2 linked regions of the Schizosaccharomyces pombe genome follow. The protein of the gene in region 1 interacts with the protein of each later gene in a pairwise test. Each region holds a gene or a part of one and is shown on either strand. Other genes may lie near its edges.

The links.
Region 2: the proteins of tan1 (region 1) and nat10 interact in a two-hybrid assay, tested with the Schizosaccharomyces pombe proteins (one study listed by BioGRID).

The regions. Positions count from the first base shown.
Region 1 is NC_003423.3:3,260,504-3,268,753, forward strand, and holds tan1 (tRNA acetyltransferase), read left to right. Parts: upstream 1-6,511; coding exon 6,512-6,583; exon of another isoform or gene 6,584-6,690; coding exon 6,691-6,801; exon of another isoform or gene 6,802-6,851; coding exon 6,852-7,008; intron 7,009-7,093; coding exon 7,094-7,299; exon of another isoform or gene 7,300-7,348; coding exon 7,349-7,492; exon of another isoform or gene 7,493-7,500; intron 7,501-7,544; coding exon 7,545-7,718; downstream 7,719-8,250. Other genes in the region: chaperonin-containing T-complex eta subunit Cct7, read left to right, coding at 416-449, 492-915, 1,083-2,301; SAGA complex bromodomain subunit Spt7, read left to right, coding at 2,874-3,447, 3,489-3,688, 3,743-3,781, 3,834-3,935, 3,978-4,116, 4,164-5,407, 5,447-5,590, 5,634-5,848 and 1 more.
Region 2 is NC_003424.3:1,413,356-1,423,500, reverse strand, and holds nat10 (rRNA/tRNA cytidine N-acetyltransferase), read left to right. Parts: upstream 1-4,724; 5' UTR 4,725-4,750; coding exon 4,751-4,807; exon of another isoform or gene 4,808-4,846; coding exon 4,847-4,992; intron 4,993-5,029; exon of another isoform or gene 5,030-5,060; coding exon 5,061-7,959; 3' UTR 7,960-8,049; downstream 8,050-10,145. Other genes in the region: ubiquitin-protein ligase E3 Meu34, read left to right, coding at 1-261; ceo2 (inorganic diphosphatase), read right to left, coding at 559-890, 949-1,321, 1,430-1,585; atg6 (beclin family protein), read left to right, coding at 3,034-4,428; histone chaperone/ATP-dependent chromatin remodeller Fft1, read left to right, coding at 8,439-10,052, 10,091-10,145. UniProt on the Schizosaccharomyces pombe protein: RNA cytidine acetyltransferase with specificity toward both 18S rRNA and tRNAs. Catalyzes the formation of N(4)-acetylcytidine (ac4C) at positions 1297 and 1815 in 18S rRNA.

The sequences.
Region 1 (8,250 bases):
CATGAGCATGAGTTTGGCTTTTTTGTCTTTATATGTATTTTATAAGTTATTTTGATTTTATCTGCTGCTGGTCATATTTATTTATTTTTATATAGCAGCATATATGTTTTTAATAAAGCATCTCTCTTTTGATAATTACGCATCCTAAATGCTTTTTTGGAAGATATTGTACATTCTTTCGATAATTTACCATTTTTCCACTCATGCTCTTAAACGTTCGAATAAATATTATAAATTCAGTTAGTAAATCACGTACAAATGCACACAGTTACTGTAGTTTAATAATAATTTTTTGTTTACAAGTTTAGTGGATCCTAACGATAATTCTTTATAACACGCCAAATGAGTCACCTAAAACTGTAACTTCATTTTTGCCAAGCACCAAATACAAGTGAATTTGGGTATTTGAAATAGAATGTCGCTTGGAGGTCCTCAAATTCCTGTCATTGGTAAGTTTGTATGCAGATGAAAGTATCTCTAATCGTTTGCAGTACTGAAGGAAGGTACGGATGATTCCCAAGGACGGGGTCAACTGCTTTCGAACATCAATGCTTGTGTCGCTGTACAAGACACGATCCGAACCACTCTCGGTCCATTGGGCGCTGATAAGTTAATGGTTGACGATAGAGGAGAAGTTGTAATTTCAAATGATGGCGCAACTATTATGAAACTCTTGGACATTGTCCATCCTGCTGCAAAAACGCTAGTTGATATTGCCAGAGCCCAAGATGCGGAAGTCGGTGATGGTACTACTTCGGTCGTTGTATTCGCTGGCGAATTATTGAGAGAAGCGAGAACATTTGTTGAAGATGGAGTTAGTTCACATCTTATTATAAGAGGTTATCGTAAAGCTGCCCAGTTGGCTGTGAATAAGATTAAAGAGATTGCTATTCACTTGGATTTATCGGACGAAGGGTAAGACTTTTAATTTATAGAATTTTTATCTGGGCATTGCTTAACTAGCTTGCTTAGAATAAGTTTTGTAAAGTTTATTATTGGTGCTTTTCGCTATACTTTTTTTATTACTTATTAGAAGGATTTTTAGTTATTTTATATTTGTTCAGTTTACTAATACTTTACAGAAAATTACGAGATCTGTTAACAAAATGCGCATCTACTGCAATGAACTCAAAGCTTATTCGTTCGAATTCTACTTTTTTTACAAAGATGGTAGTTGATGCTGTTTTGACATTAGATCAAGAAGACTTGAATGAAAACATGATTGGTATTAAAAAAGTCCCTGGAGGAGCAATGGAGGATTCACTTCTTGTTAAGGGCGTTGCATTTAAAAAGACATTTTCGTATGCTGGTTTTGAACAACAGCCAAAATTCTTCAAGAATCCCAAAATTCTTTGTTTGGACGTTGAGTTGGAATTAAAGGCCGAGAAAGACAATGCTGAAGTTCGCGTTGATAAAGTTCAAGAATACCAGAATATCGTCGATGCTGAATGGCGTATCATTTTTTCCAAACTTGAAGCGATTGTCGCTACTGGTGCGAAAGTTGTTTTGTCAAAATTGCCCATCGGTGATTTGGCCACCCAATATTTCGCGGATCGTGACATTTTTTGTGCTGGAAGGGTTGCTGCAGATGATTTAAATCGTGTGGTACAAGCAGTTGGCGGCTCCATCCAGTCTACCTGCTCAAATATTGAGGAGAAGCACCTAGGTACTTGTGATACTTTTGAGGAGCGTCAAATCGGTGGTGATCGTTTCAATCTATTTGAAGGTTGTCCCAAGGCCAAGACTTGCACTCTTATTCTTCGTGGCGGTGCTGATCAGTTTATTGCAGAGGTGGAACGCTCGTTACATGATGCTATTATGATTGTTAAACATGCGTTAAAAAATAACTTAGTAGTCGCTGGCGGTGGTGCTTGTGAGATGGAGTTATCTAAATATCTCCGTGATTATTCTCTTACTATATCTGGTAAACAACAGAATTTTATAGCTGCCTTTGCTCGCTCGTTGGAAGTAATCCCTCGTCAGCTGTGTGATAATGCAGGATTCGATTCAACAAATATTTTGAATAAACTCCGTATGCAACATGCCAAGGGTGAAATGTGGGCTGGTGTAGATATGGATAGCGAAGGGGTCGCAAACAATTTTGAGAAGTTTGTTTGGGAGCCTAGCACCGTCAAATCAAATGCCATATTATCAGCAACTGAGGCAGCTACTCTAATTCTGTCCGTTGACGAGACTATTAAAAATGAACCTTCACAGCAACCTCAAGCTCCACAGGGTGCGTTACCTCCTGGCGCTGCTAATAGGATTATGCGTGGTAGAGGTCGAGGAATGCCCCGCTAATAAATTTTCTAGGATTGTATTCTATCTAGATAAAATCAATTAAATCACTTTTTGTTTTGGTTGGACAATTCGTTTTGAATTTCTACCTATAAACAGGGCGTAATGTACTTATTGGTTCTAAATTAGCTATTTTATCTTTATGAGCGCTAGCTACGACTTACAATATTGTTCTGCATCGCGGATTATTTTCTTGTCACTTCACTCACTTTTGCGATATTATATGAACAGTGATTACTAAAAGTTACTAAATTGTTTCATAATTTATAAGGATTTATATGTGATACTTTGATACCTTCCAAATATCTTTTTTTAAGTTCGAAAACTTATAGTAGTATACTGGTATGAAATGGTAAACAGAACATATATTGCTTCATTTCTATCGTTATTTTCAATTGTTACAGTACGTTAAACATATTTCAGGAAATCGCTGTGTATCCATATCCGACGCTAGCGAAACAAACGAGTATGAAACCTTCACATATCTCAAGTGTTATTTTTTATCCATTGTGGTTGTTAATTTAATTTATCACGCGTCATTTATGAACTATTATACATAGGGAAGGAGAATTTGAATGGAGACTAATTTCGAAGATTCAAAGTCGTTGGATGAGCCTGTTCTTCATGACATTGCAATCGCGCTGCTTAAAAATGATTATTGGAGCCTTTATTTGTCCCCAGAACAAAAAAGGAAGTATATTTCTATACTAAATGACACTCTTCTATGGAACCGATTCATTAATGTAATAGAATGGGATAAGTTGTGCGATGAAAAAGACTCGAATGGCAGTAACGATGATGAGGAAGACGATTTAGATATTACTACTTTGTTTCGCTGTCGTTGTATGATATTTGACGCTAAAATAAATCCAGCTTTATTTGATTTAAGTTCCACAAGTTCTGGATCTATTGAGCATGTTGATCATCAAAACATATCCTTAGAAGCTTCGTTGGCCGAGGAAGAAGAAAGAAAGAAGGGAGATGCCAAAAAGTCTGAAGCAACTGGAAGACAACTATTTGATGATGATGATTTTGATGAATCTGATGCCGAAGACTCGTCTAAAGCTACCATTACTCTGGATCTTCAAAAGGATAAATCATTACGAAAAAGCATTATAGATTTGAAATCTGTCGATATAGATGATATGGGTAAGTCATCCCTTAAGTATTCTTATATACTAACATTTTAGATACTTCTGGTTTTGCAGCCATCGAATCAAATAAGGCACTCAGCAATATTAGTTTCAACTATGTGTACTATACTTTAGAAAATGACTCTGAAAATATCAATGAAGTGAAAAAATTTGAAGATGAGGAAGACACATCAACCCCTAATACATCCAGCTTTCAAAACAATTCATCCTCTCTTGATTTATCTGATAATTTATCGGTACGTTATGAAACTTATCAGTTATTTTAATTCCTTTTAATTAACAAAATTTAGCTTAATTCAAAGTTTGGATCACTTACCTCGTCATTTAAGGTATACTTTTAATCACTTTCTAATCTTGTTGTCAACCAAAACTAATACTTAGTATCTACTGCAATATTTGGAGGGAAATAGAAGTAAAATAAATGCCACCGATGCTGATGTGAAGCAATTGTTATCCGATGTTAAAAAAAATAAATCAAAATGGGTATTTAAGTTTTATTTTTTTGCTTGTATTAATGTTTTCTAGGCGAATGATCAAAGAATTGGTCAAGAAGAGCTTTATGAAGCAGCAGAAAAAGTGGTCCTGGAACTTAGATCATATACGGAGCATTCTTTGGCTTTTCTAACCAAGGTCAGCAAAAGAGATGCACCTGATTATTATACTGGTAAGAGTGATTCTAATAACTCTAAAATTCTCATTAACATTTTGTAGTAATTAAGGAGCCGATGGACCTTGGTACCATTTTAAGGAACTTAAAAAATTTACATTATAATAGCAAAAAAGAATTCGTTCATGATTTAATGCTAATTTGGTCGAACTGCTTTTTGTATAATTCACATCCCGACCACCCTTTGCGCGTACATGCCCAGTTTATGAAAGACAAGTCTTTGGAATTAATAAACCTCATTCCTGATATAGTAATACAATCTCGTAAGGATTACGATGATAGTTTAATTGAAGCAGAGCTTGAAAGCGATGAAGAATCAACAGCGGAGACATCAAAACATGTCACTTCTAAAAAGACATCTTCTAGGGGCGGACAAACGCAACAAGCTGTTGAAGTTCATACTGATGCAAATAGCCCCGAAGAAAACAATACTCCTGTTACAAAGAAAGAAGTTGAGACCTCTAAACCTCCTGCTGTTAGCGGTTCAACACCTCCTGTCAATGAAGCGGCCGTTATAGAGAGTTCTAACACTTTAGAAAAAGAACCTTTGTCTGACGTTGCTACTGAATATTGGAAAATCAAAACAAAGGATATTCGTGAAAGCCATATCTTAAATAATCGGCGGATTTTAAAAAGTTTACAATTTATTGAGACTGAACTACCTATGATTCGGAAGCCAACAGCAATGTCAGCTTTTATAGATCGAGAAGTTGCTTATGGAAGTATAGATTGTTTACCTATGGATAAAGGTGATTTTGAACCAATAATGAAATTAGATACTACCCCATTACTTGAGTATGATGTGGGTTCAGGCGTTCCGATGACCGCTGGTAGCGTCTTGGAGACTGAAAGTGAAGAAGACTTATACTTTAGGGACTACTCTCTTTTTGAAATTAATCGCAACACACCTGGTGTACCTTCGTTGATGTACAAAAATATTGCTAAAATGCAAGAAATTCGGAAATTATGTAATAAAATCCAAACAGTTCGCCAGTTACAGCTTCCTCAGCCATTTTATTATGAACATCATAAAAGTCATGTCCCGTTTGCTAACAATGAACCCATCCTTTTGGATATCCCACAAAATTACGATAACATGTCCTCCTTTAAACCATTGGCGCACGATGTATTAAAAAAGCTTTGTACCATTATATTATTCCATGCTGGATTTGAGTCGTTTCAAATGGGAGCACTGGATGCTTTGACCGAAATAGCGGCTGATTACATGGCAAAAATGGGTGCTGTCATGGACCAGTATCTCATTTATGGGAAAGACAAATCTCAACAGGTATTTAATTACGTTATGCAGTTATATTGACCAATTTAGGAAATTGTTGGACAAACCCTAGGGGAATTAGGTGTTGACGATGTGAATGATTTAATTTCATATGTGTATCATGATGTAGAGCGCCAAAGCGTGAAGTTGCTAGAAATACATCAGCGTCTTCAAAGGCATTTTGTTGAGTTATTGGTATGCGAATTTCCTTATTAAGTAGTGTTACTAACCGGATTAGCGTCCTGCACTTTCTGAGCGCAATGATGAAGAAGCGATATTTAACCAAAATGGAGAGTCGTTTGTAACGGGAAATTTTTCGTATGAGACTGGTGATGATTTCTTTGGTCTACGGGAACTTGGTTTAGATAGAGAACTTGGCTTAGATTCACTATCGGTTCCATTGCATTTATTACAAAGCAGATTGAGGTCGAATATGAGTTGGCAACCCGAAGCGTATGTTTATAATATCTTTGAAAGATTTGATACTAATTCATTCAGAACGATAAAGGGTGACCAAGAGTACGCTCCACCTCCAAAATATCCTCCCATCACCGCCGAAAGTATTTCTAACGAAATCGGGTTGATTCAAGGATTTTTAAAGAAGAATCTAGAGGAATTCGGTTTGGATGAGTTGTTGGAAGATGAAGACATAAGGCCAAGGAGCAAACCTCCGCGACCGCGTCTACCTCCGAACGGAAAGATTACCACTGGGAGAAAGCGAATTGCTTCGTCAGTTTTTTTAAATCAATCCTTGAGAAAAAAGCGCTGCCTAAAGGAGAATGAGCAAGGTACTGAGGTAACTACTCTTCCTGAAGAATAGGCCATATGTATTTATTTATAACGTCAAAAACAACTAGTATATAGATGTGTATCAACCACAATGGAGACATAACTTTTAAAACATAATTTTTACTTTAAAAAAGTTTAAAGTTTCTTTTAGTAATAATTATAATGGTTCTAGTTTTGGTTTGGCTTTATGTCTGATGTGTTCTTTAGTAATTATTAATGTCTGAAAAATCGGGGTCCGAATGGCAATTTGAATTTGCAAAATAAAGATATAATATCACTAACATATAACTATTTATTAATTACTCTAGCAACACATTTAACCTAATTATGAGTGCATTGTCCGAAATATTAAGTTACCTAATTATTTCATTTGAGACGAGTTTTACCTTTCACCTTGAAGTATCACATACTGAAATGGGAAAGCGCGAGAACGCTCATAACAGCAGTGAGCGACCTTTTAAAAAGGAAAGGAATCTTTATCAAACAAAGCTAACTATTAAGTATAGTTTAAGTACAAAAGAACAGGGATTGAAAAAAATGAAAGTGGTGTTTTAGTTACTGTTCCTCGCGGTAAAGAAAGACAATCATCGTCTGAGATTCTTGATGTTTTTACTCAGGTATGCAAGACATTTGTCAGGTTAAGGATGCGTAAACTGATGATTAATAGCATATAGCTACTCTTTGGCCAGAAACTCAATCTAGTGATCAAGAAAACGAAGAAGAAGGCGAGGAATTAGAAGATGCAGTTGCTAAGGAGATTAATAGTCTCCAAAAAAAGAACAAAAAAGAACTGTTAACCCCAATTATGCTAGATATGCCTTGTGGTAGGTGCATAAACAGTATAATTTTAGAAGTTTAAGATGTTTATTCGTATTTGAATTATTATGACCGTTTATTAATTTTTTGAAGTTTACTTTGTAAAAACAAGGCCACCAATTGATCCAGTGCGTCTTGTAGAGTTTACTTGTGAAGTTGGGAAAACCAAAAAAATGACTCGATATACACAACGATTGATACCGATTGTAAGAACAACTGGCGTTTCCCTGGATGATCTCGAGGAGCTTGCTAAAAGTCTGATTGACCCGTTATTTCATGAAGGCCAGGAAGGGATTAAGGTAAGTTAGCAATAATATATGGCTTTAGCATACAATAGGCTAACTCCAGGAGTTCGCTGTTCAAGCCAATATCCGAAATCATACAGTCCTAAAAAAAGATGATATATATCGCACTGTTGCTAGAATCGTTGGAAAGCAACATATGGTAGATTTGAAGAACTTTAAATTGCTTATTTTAGTCCAAGTGATTAAGGTACGTTTCATTGCTTGCAACGAATTGCATTTAACAATCCTTTTAAATTTAGAATATAATTGGCATAAGTATTGTACAAAATTTCGAAGAGTTGAGACGCTTCAATTTGAATGAAGTATATAAACAACCGGAGAATACCAAGTCGATCCCTAATGATTCTAAGTTAGACAACTTCGATCGCGATAAGAATCAAATAATAAATGATAAGGCCGAACATGCTGAGTAAGAGAGCTCTACATATTAACCGAGGCACCGGGATCATCGTTTATGTTAGAGAATTTTAATTTGAAGGAGCGTATAAATTTCTTTCGTTAAAATTTAAAGATTTGTCATGAAATTAAAGGTTACGACAATATCAACAACGAATTATTAGGGAAAATGGGAATCTGCGCTTACAATTGAAAGCCGAACTTATTGGTCATCATACAAGTCTTCAAATAGAGAACACACGATAAAACTATATTTTGGATGTTTGATATGATTACGAACTAATTGATATTGAGTTTACAAAGTAATGTAAAATAAGCGTCTTGAAACGTTTGTGAAACGATAACTAAACGTAACATTATCTCCAAATAAAGCAAACGAATTTAGTAATAAAGCTTGATAACGTTAATTTTAACGCGTAAAGGTCCTACAGAAATCTGTAAAATGCATTTTCTTTTTCCTAAAAAAAAAAAAAGAAAACAAATTTATTGCCGTTTGTAAACAGAAACAGAACAAGAAGTGCATAAAATTCCTATGGCATAAAAGTAGAG
Region 2 (10,145 bases), on another chromosome or scaffold:
GAACATGTTTTCCACACTCAGTGCATTGATACATGGATGACAACTATGAAGGCATCTTGTCCTCTATGCAATGAAGATTATTACAAGTATTTCCTACAGATGGACGCAGCATCAAGTGTTACACATGAGAATGCAGCTTGGTCAATACCTCTTTCTCCCGGCGATTCAAGAACCCATTCTGCTGAGACTGATCGGTCATTGTTGTCGGCAATGTCTGTACGAAACAGCCGAATGCCTTACATTGTGAGTAGTACTTTGTAAATACATGTTATTTTGCCAGTGATGTACCTTTTGAAGAATGACCCATTTTTATAATTCTTTGCTTTGGAGTGTTTTGTTTTAATTATAATCATTCCTTTACATTCAAAAACTTTTCCTTGTGCTATAATGGAATGTTACTCATTGGTTTTAATCGAACAAACAACCCCAACGTTGGTATTACTCGCATAGTTTAATTATAGATAATCCAGAGATTTTTTCGGTTTGCAGTATCTTAAGTTAAAAAATAAAGATTTTGTAATGTAATATTATTGAACTTTGTCAGTAACTTTTAAGTAATTATAAATTAGGTATTGTGTGGAAATAAGGAAAGGAAGGATAATTTGAGACATTTTGAGACACTTCTTCTTTGAGGGAGTTAATCTTGTTAATTAAATCAACATTGTTCACGCTTTCATTATGAAAGTTTTTAATGTACTGTTTTCTGTCTCTGGATACTTTCCAATGTTGGTGACATTGAGCTATTATGTCCAACGCATCACTTTTTGGTAAATAGTTTCCGTCAAAGAAAAATCGGTTTTTAGGCTTCCCATCAGGGATTTTGTAAATGGCAAACCAGTCTCGCGTACAAGGTAATAGCCTTGGCATCAAGTTCTGAACATCAGAAATATCTAAGAAAGTTAGCTGTCCATAATATTTCAATCATGAAAAGCAATAGGTTACACGTACCATTAAGTAGTTTGGCACGAGGGTCGTTGATATCTATGGCAAGGATTTTCCAATCTGTTTCTCCCTGATCGATAAGACCCAATGCACCGAGAACTTTTACTTGCTTGATTTGCCCAATGTAGCCGATTGAACCTCCTATCTCGCACACATCCAAGGGATCACCATCTCCTTTCATCTTCGTTCTTGAATCTATTACGTTCGGATCCTCCCATGTCTGTGGGAGCGCGCCGTAATTCCAAATGAAACCATGGTAAGGAAAGGAATTGGCAACATAACGCAGCTTTCCATTTTTTAGATCCTGCTTGATGGGATGAAAGGGAGAAGTTAACGAAATTTCACATTTTGCTTGAGTCCAACGGGGAATTTCAGTAACCTAGTTGAAAAAAATTGTTAGTGCTGTCATACTCCGCAGCGATAATGAAAAGGATATATAACTAATTGGCAACAAAAACCTCAAAATTCAATGAGTTACTATACACACCATATTAAATGTGTCCTTATCAGATGTCAATGGGACATCATGGAAGAATGAAATTGGTTTATTGTTTTTATAGCAATACACGCGAAAGTCCGGCGTATTTAGTTTTCCAGTGATTTTCGACCGAAATTGAAGAATATTTTTAGCAAGGGAAGCCATGGGAAATTTTTCTATTACCAAGCTCATCAATCAACTCTCTAGTTGAACTCACCGACTAAAGTAATACACCATCTATCATCTAAACTGTTTCTACCACATTATGAAGTATAAAGCGCTGAAGGTTGCAATCCGTTAAGGATTTAACCGTACATGTAACAACATCATTAAATATACAATCAGAGTGAAAGGGCATTTTAGGGCGGAAGAACTTGGATAAAAGTAAAACGTACGTATGGATTAGCAGGCACTGAATAGACTACAAATATCTCAATTTATTTATAAAAATCAGGAATGATATTCATTCATAATCTATCTATACATTTAGAAAAACCAAGGGGACTTTAAAATGCAATCAATTGTGATTCATTATTAATTTATAAAATAATAAACATTTAACAGACAGGATTTTCAACCATTGAACGGTACTCTTTACTCTACAGTTATCTCAGCTGAAAAGAATTTACATGCTTGAAAACTAGCAAATCCATCGTAAATTACAATGAGAAAGTATTTGGTACTAATTGTAGCTTCATTATATTGGAAATGTTTACCAGTTTGATTAGAATTTCGTAATAGTGAAACGTGGCCTTGAACAGTTTTTATCCATTAATTATACAGAAAGAATAGTGACTAAAATCGGCGTGCTTTATTTACATTCAATTTCAACTACAAAAATAAATTTTTAAAAAACATAAGGGACCAGCCGGATTTGAACCAGCGACCTGGGGATCTGCAATCCCTCACTCTAACCACTGAGCTATGACCCCTTACATTTGTAAGTAAAATAATTGTCGTATATATTTAATTAAAACCTTGCAATTCTTTTTTATGTATATAAATTGACTAATATGTCGTTTAATCTGTTTATTTTTTTTTTTTTTAGGTTTTAATGCGAGAATTTTACTTTGTGTGGTGAAAGAAAATTGCAATGAAATAACATTATTAATAAAAGTTTCTTACATGAATTAAGATTTTTTTTACTTAATAAAATATCACGAGTAACTTTTAATGCAGCATACAAATTCGTAAATTAACAGTACTAGTGTTTTTATCAATTTTAAAACGATTGCAAAAGTCATTGTTCATAATGCCATAAGTAAACTTGTGTTATAAAGTTTTTCCATTCCGTGCTGCAAGTGTTATACAATTATAATGTATAATAGGAAGTCTGATCTTGTTCGAAAACTAAGGCGTTTCTCTAGGCTTAATGATTTCTGGATTTTATTTATTAGAAAAACATTGCACACAGCTTTCTAAAGAATTGTTTTATTTTATCACTTAGTGAACTCTTAACCTCACAAAAGAGCTTACATTTTAGCCTCGATCATGAATAGTATTACGCCTACGAAATCAAAAGGAATAACGAATGCTAACAAACAGTGGTATTCGTAGTCGCTTTTCCTCATGTCAATACGAAGGCAATACTCATCCTCGAGAATCTGCGTAACATGCAGTATTTGTGTCAGAGGTGTCATTCTTTGATAAATTTTAAAGATGTTTACGATGATGACTTGTTAAAGCTAAAAAATCTTCCGAAAAGTAGATTTGTTCAAGCATCATCGTTGACAGAGATGAATGAGAGTGGGGAGAGTGATGATCAAATGAATTCTTCTTCTGAAGACTATCCAGCTCAGAGATTGCAACTTTACAAAAAAACAATAAGCGAAGGTGATTACAATTTTGATAATGTACCACCGCCCGAATTGAGGACGCCCACTTTAGATTCATTTGTTGTATTGCCAGCTGCTAAAGATGGCTATGAAGAAGAAAAGAATTCGCCTGAAGAGGTGAATGATCTTTTTAGTTGGAAAATAGAAATTTATAACAGAATATTTGATCTTTTATCCTCTAAAACCAAAGTCGATCACCCTCTTTGTGTCGAATGTGCTGAGTTATTGACTGAAGAGATGTCTAAAACATTAAGGGCCCTAAAAGAGGAAAAAAAAATGTATTTTAATTATGATAATTTCTTATCAAGTCAAACAGTGCATGAAGAAAATACTGCTGCGCTTGATTCTGAGATAGATGAATTAATGAAACAGATTAATGAGAAAGAAGAAAAGATCGAGGAAATTAGTGATGAAACAGACAAACTTCAAAAGTTGCTACGTGAATTGGACGAAGAAAAGGAAAAAGTTTATGCCGAGGAGCAAGAGTTCTACAATAATCTAAACCAATTTCAAATAAAAAAGCTGAGTTTAGAAAGACAATACGATTGTGCAAACTTGGAGTTTGAGCATAACTCTAGGAAGCTCGAGAAGCTTCAGAAAATGAATGTTTTCAGTGATATTTTTTACATTTCTCATTATTCTGAGCCGAATGGAGAGGGCTCTATTGCTACAATTAATGGCTTACGCTTGGGAAGGCTTCCAAGCCAGAAAGTTAATTGGGCTGAGATAAATGCCGCTTGGGGGATGACTGTTTTACTATTAGATGTTTTGACTGAAAAGTTAGACTTTCATTCCTCTTCCTATCAGCTGAAGCCTTTTGGCAGCCAATCTTTTATAATTCGTTTTGATCGCGATCCTAATGGAAATCAAGTTAAACCAACAAAGCTAGATCTTTTTTCTAGCGGAGAGCTCAAAATATTTATGAATCGTAGATTTGACCAAGGCATGGTGGCTTTTCTGGATTACTTACATCAATTTGGCGATTTTTGTGCTGCTAAAACACCTTCAGCGGTTTTACCCTATGCCATTGAAAATGACCGTATCGGCGGAAAATGCATACGTTTAGCATTCAATCAGGACGAGAATTGGACTCGTGCGTTGAAGTTCGTCCTAACGGATATCAAATTTTTGGAAGCTTACGTTTCTTCTCAGGACAAGCAGTCGAACTTTTAATCCTTAATTCCCATTTGCTTTTTACTTTATGACTTATTTTCAAGTATTATATTCTACAGGCTGTTCCTCATTTAATTTTCATCATGTTGTTTCACTAGACAAATTTTTATACAGTTTTTATGTTTCATGAGTTTATTTTGTTTAATTTAATGAATTAGATTATCGTTCTCAAGTATTTAAAATCATAATAATAAATGTATAATATAAAAATAGTGAAGTACACTAAAGCAAATAACAATCGTATAACCAACTCCAAGCTTCCCATATAAAAGTTTCAGCAGAATTTTGTCTTTGCCAGTAGTCAAAACTATTTAAAGTAAAGATGCCCAAGAAAGCACTTGACTCTCGTATTCCGACTCTCATAAAAAATGGGTGCCAGGTAATTCTATCAAGTTTATAAGTTACTGACAAAGATTAGGAAAAACAGCGGAGTTTTTTCGTTGTCGTAGGCGATAGAGCTCGAGATCAGGTTGTTAACTTGCATTGGCTGCTATCTCAATCCAAAGTTGCCGCTAGACCAAATGTACTTTGGATGTATAAAAAAGATTTGCTTGGTTTTACGAGGTATGAGACCCAATGATGAAAACACCCAGCTTGTTTAGAAAGAATTAAACTTTTATTAACCCATATAGCCATCGAAAGAAGAGAGAAAATAAAATTAAAAAGGAAATCAAAAGAGGAATTCGTGATCCAAATTCAGAAGACCCATTTGAGCTTTTCTGCAGTATAACTAATATCAGATATTGTTATTATAAAGAGTCCGAAAAAATTTTAGGTCAAACATATGGAATGCTTGTTTTGCAGGACTTCGAAGCATTAACTCCCAATTTGCTTGCAAGAACAATCGAAACTGTTGAAGGTGGAGGTATCGTGGTTTTATTGTTACACAAGTTAAATTCCTTAAAACAGTTGTATACAATGTCAATGGATATCCATAGTCGTTACCGTACTGAAGCCCATAGCGATGTAACTGCAAGGTTCAATGAAAGATTCATTTTATCTTTAGGAAACTGCGAAAATTGTTTAGTGATTGATGACGAACTGAATGTTCTCCCTATTTCCGGTGGTAAAAACGTAAAAGCTTTGCCACCTACTTTAGAAGAAGATAATTCCACTCAAAACAGTATTAAGGAACTACAGGAATCTTTGGGTGAAGATCATCCTGCTGGCGCCCTTGTTGGTGTTACTAAAACACTTGATCAAGCTAGGGCTGTGTTAACCTTCGTTGAATCTATCGTTGAAAAAAGTTTAAAAGGAACAGTCTCTTTAACAGCAGGTCGTGGTAGAGGTAAATCCGCTGCTTTAGGCCTTGCTATTGCCGCTGCTATAGCTCACGGCTACTCCAATATTTTTATTACATCGCCTAGTCCTGAAAACTTAAAAACTTTATTTGAATTTATTTTTAAAGGATTTGATGCTTTAAACTATGAGGAACACGTTGATTACGATATTATTCAATCAACGAATCCAGCCTACCACAATGCCATAGTGCGAGTAAATATCTTCCGTGATCATCGCCAAACAATTCAATATATTAGTCCCGAGGATTCAAATGTTTTGGGTCAAGCTGAACTTGTTGTTATTGATGAAGCTGCAGCCATTCCTTTACCATTAGTTCGAAAGCTTATTGGCCCTTATTTGGTATTTATGGCATCTACAATTAACGGTTATGAGGGAACTGGTAGATCTTTATCATTAAAACTCTTGCAACAGCTTCGTGAGCAATCCAGAATTTATTCAGGTAGCGGAAATAATAAGTCTGATTCGCAATCACATATTTCCGGCCGTACACTGAAAGAGATTTCTTTAGACGAACCTATAAGGTATGCAATGGGGGATCGTATTGAGCTTTGGTTGAACAAATTATTATGTTTAGATGCAGCAAGTTATGTTTCACGGATGGCGACTCAGGGTTTTCCTCATCCTTCAGAATGTTCTTTGTACAGAGTGAGTCGTGATACCTTATTTTCGTATCACCCTATTTCTGAAGCTTTTTTGCAAAGAATGATGTCGTTATATGTTGCCAGCCATTACAAAAATTCGCCGAATGACCTTCAACTTATGTCAGATGCTCCTGCGCATCAGTTGTTTGTTCTGCTTCCTCCTGTAGATTTAAAGAATCCAAAACTCCCTGACCCAATTTGTGTCATTCAATTAGCACTGGAGGGTTCCATTTCCAGAGAAAGCATTATGAACAGTTTAAGTCGGGGACAAAGAGCTGGAGGTGACTTGATCCCATGGCTAATTTCTCAGCAGTTTCAAGACGAGAATTTTGCGGCTTTAGGTGGTGCTCGTATTGTTCGTATTGCTGTATCTCCTGAACATGTTAAAATGGGCTACGGAACTAGAGCCATGCAATTACTACATGAATATTTTGAAGGAAAGTTTATAAGCGCATCTGAGGAATTTAAAGCTGTTAAACATTCTCTTAAGCGTATTGGGGACGAAGAGATTGAGAATACCGCTTTGCAAACTGAAAAAATTCATGTGAGAGATGCAAAAACCATGCCACCTTTGCTTTTGAAGCTTTCAGAACTTCAACCAGAGCCTTTACACTATGTTGGTGTTTCGTATGGTCTAACACCGTCATTGCAAAAATTCTGGAAACGAGAGGGTTATTGTCCTTTGTACTTAAGGCAGACTGCAAATGATCTAACGGGCGAGCATACCTGTGTAATGTTGAGAGTCCTTGAAGGCCGTGATAGTGAATGGCTTGGAGCATTCGCTCAAAATTTTTATCGTCGATTCCTCAGCTTACTTGGTTACCAGTTCAGAGAATTTGCTGCGATTACTGCACTCAGTGTATTAGACGCATGTAACAATGGCACCAAATATGTGGTTAATAGCACATCTAAATTAACCAACGAAGAAATTAACAACGTTTTTGAATCATACGATTTGAAGCGCTTAGAGTCTTATTCTAATAATTTGCTCGATTACCATGTTATTGTTGATTTGCTTCCAAAGTTGGCCCATCTTTACTTCAGCGGTAAATTCCCTGATTCTGTTAAGCTGTCTCCAGTTCAGCAATCTGTATTATTAGCTTTGGGATTGCAGTATAAGACTATCGATACACTTGAAAAGGAGTTCAACTTACCCTCAAACCAATTATTGGCGATGTTAGTCAAGTTGTCCAAGAAAATTATGAAGTGTATAGATGAAATTGAAACGAAGGACATCGAAGAAGAATTAGGTTCGAATAAGAAAACGGAAAGTAGTAATTCTAAACTTCCTGAGTTTACTCCTCTCCAGCAATCCTTGGAGGAAGAGCTACAGGAAGGAGCAGATGAGGCTATGCTTGCTTTACGTGAAAAGCAAAGAGAGTTGATCAATGCTATAGATTTGGAAAAATATGCCATTCGTGGAAACGAAGAGGATTGGAAGGCTGCAGAAAATCAAATCCAAAAGACAAATGGAAAAGGCGCTAGGGTGGTCAGCATTAAAGGGGAAAAGAGAAAAAATAATTCTTTGGACGCTTCAGATAAAAAAACAAAAGAAAAGCCTTCTTCCAAGAAGAAATTTAGGAAATAGGTATTAGTTACGCGTGTTTTGTTTTAAACTGGTGAATGGTTTAGGTTTTTATGTGGGAAAATAAATTTATTAGAATAGTCGATACCCTGATATGATACTTTGCACAGAAAGTACGAGATAATTAACTAAAATTAATTCAGATGTGTATGCGGCTTCAAATTTACTCAACAAGTAAATGTTGTATTTCGCTAGTATTAAATTCACGGGCTTGATACCTGAAGTTTGATCGAAAATAAAGTAGAATATAAATCGTGGGCAACAAAATTTAAGAAATTTAATTTTTCATATTTTGTGGAATTATGTTTTAGCGTAGTATTCTATCCAGCCTAAATTAATATACTCTCGGTTTCTCTTCTAAAGCTAAGGTAGTTGCGCTCCTTAAGCAGCTAAACACCTGAGTCGAAAGCGAAACTTGATCAAAACACAAATTAAACAATAAGAGATTAAGTGAAATAGATTATAGAAAAGAGAGGGTTTTCATGAAGAGAAAAGATAATAAAGAATTAATTTGCATACCAAGCTCTTCACCTCCTTCAACTCCTATACGCGAAGAAAATTATTATTTGCTTACGAGCTCTCCCATTGAATGTAGTCCTATTCAACAATTAGACCTGTCAGGAAGTTTCAAAAATTATTCAACTACCTCCTCAAGGGCTAACGGGAAAAAATTTGGGCAGTTGGCTATGCAATCTCGTATTTTTTTTGACACAACCGATCATAAAAAGTATGTTGAGAGCAGCTACGCGGCGTACGATCCTCACGATCAGCCTCCTGAACGCGATGTGAGTTTAAAAGAATCTTCGAACAAAATAAACCCCTCAAACTTTTTTGACAGCGAACAAATTACGAAAATTAATGCTGTAAAAAAACGATTTCCAGCCTTAGATTCAGAAATGATAATTGCAACATTAGAAAAATTCAACTGGAGGGAAAACATAACTATCCATAAGCTTACGTTTCAGAAGTTGCTAGGACGAGGTAACTCGACAATCAACAAGTCAGCCCAAAAGCTGAACAACCAGCCCATTGAAAAGTCCTCGGTAGACAAGGAGAACGCAAAAAGGAAACGTTATGTAGAAGAAGGAACTAAACAAGGGCAAAAGAAAAAGCCGCTTCGTGTTATTGAACTTTCAGATGAAGAAACGAATGAAGATGACTTGTTAGGCCAATCACCTACAGCGTGTACTACAGATGCTAACATCGATAATTCTATTCCCGAAAATTCTGATAAAATAGAGGAAGTAAGCATCGAAAGTTCAGGACCTTCAGAAGTTGAGGATGAAATGTCTGAATATGATGTTCGAGTTTTAAACTTTTTAAATGAATCTACACTTCAAGAAATAGTAGAAGTTTCCGGTTGTGAATCAAAAGTGGTGGAATATTTTATTTCTAAACGACCATTTCCTTCTTTAGAAAAAGCAGAGGCACTATGCCAACGAAATGCGCACGCAGCCACAGGTAAACGAAAGAAATCAGATGGCCGCAACGTTGGAAGAAAATTAGTTAATTCAACTTATGAAGTACTTCAGGGATTCGATGCTGTTGACTCTCTGATTGCTAAATGCGAAAGGTACGGGGCTATGATATCCAATACTATGCGATCTTGGCACAATTTGTTTGATGATAAAAAAATGGAACAGTTTCTTAATACTTCTACAGGGTCTATCAGTTACGAATACAATAGTCAACAACCATCTTCAATCGCATCTGGTATAACTTTGAAAAGTTATCAGATTGTTGGACTCAATTGGTTGTGTTTGATGTACAAAGCAAAATTGTCAGGGATTTTAGCTGATGAAATGGGTCTAGGAAAAACATGTCAAGTGATTTCATTTCTAGCTTCGTTAAAGGAGAAAGGTATACAAAATCGCCACTTGGTAGTTGTTCCATCTTCTACTCTCGGAAACTGGTTGCGAGAATTCGAAAAGTTTTGCCCGTCGCTTAGAGTAGAAAGCTATTCGGGAACTCAGTCGGAAAGGATCAACAAAAGGTACTACTTAATGGATACGGATTTTGATGTTCTAGTTACTACTTACCAACTTGCATCTGGAAGTCGAGACGACAGATCATTCTTAAGGAAACAGAGATTTGATGTAAGCTTATGTTTTTTATCGGTAAACTAATCTTTTAGATTTCTATATTTGATGAAGGGCATTATTTAAAAAATAGAATGTCAGAACGATATA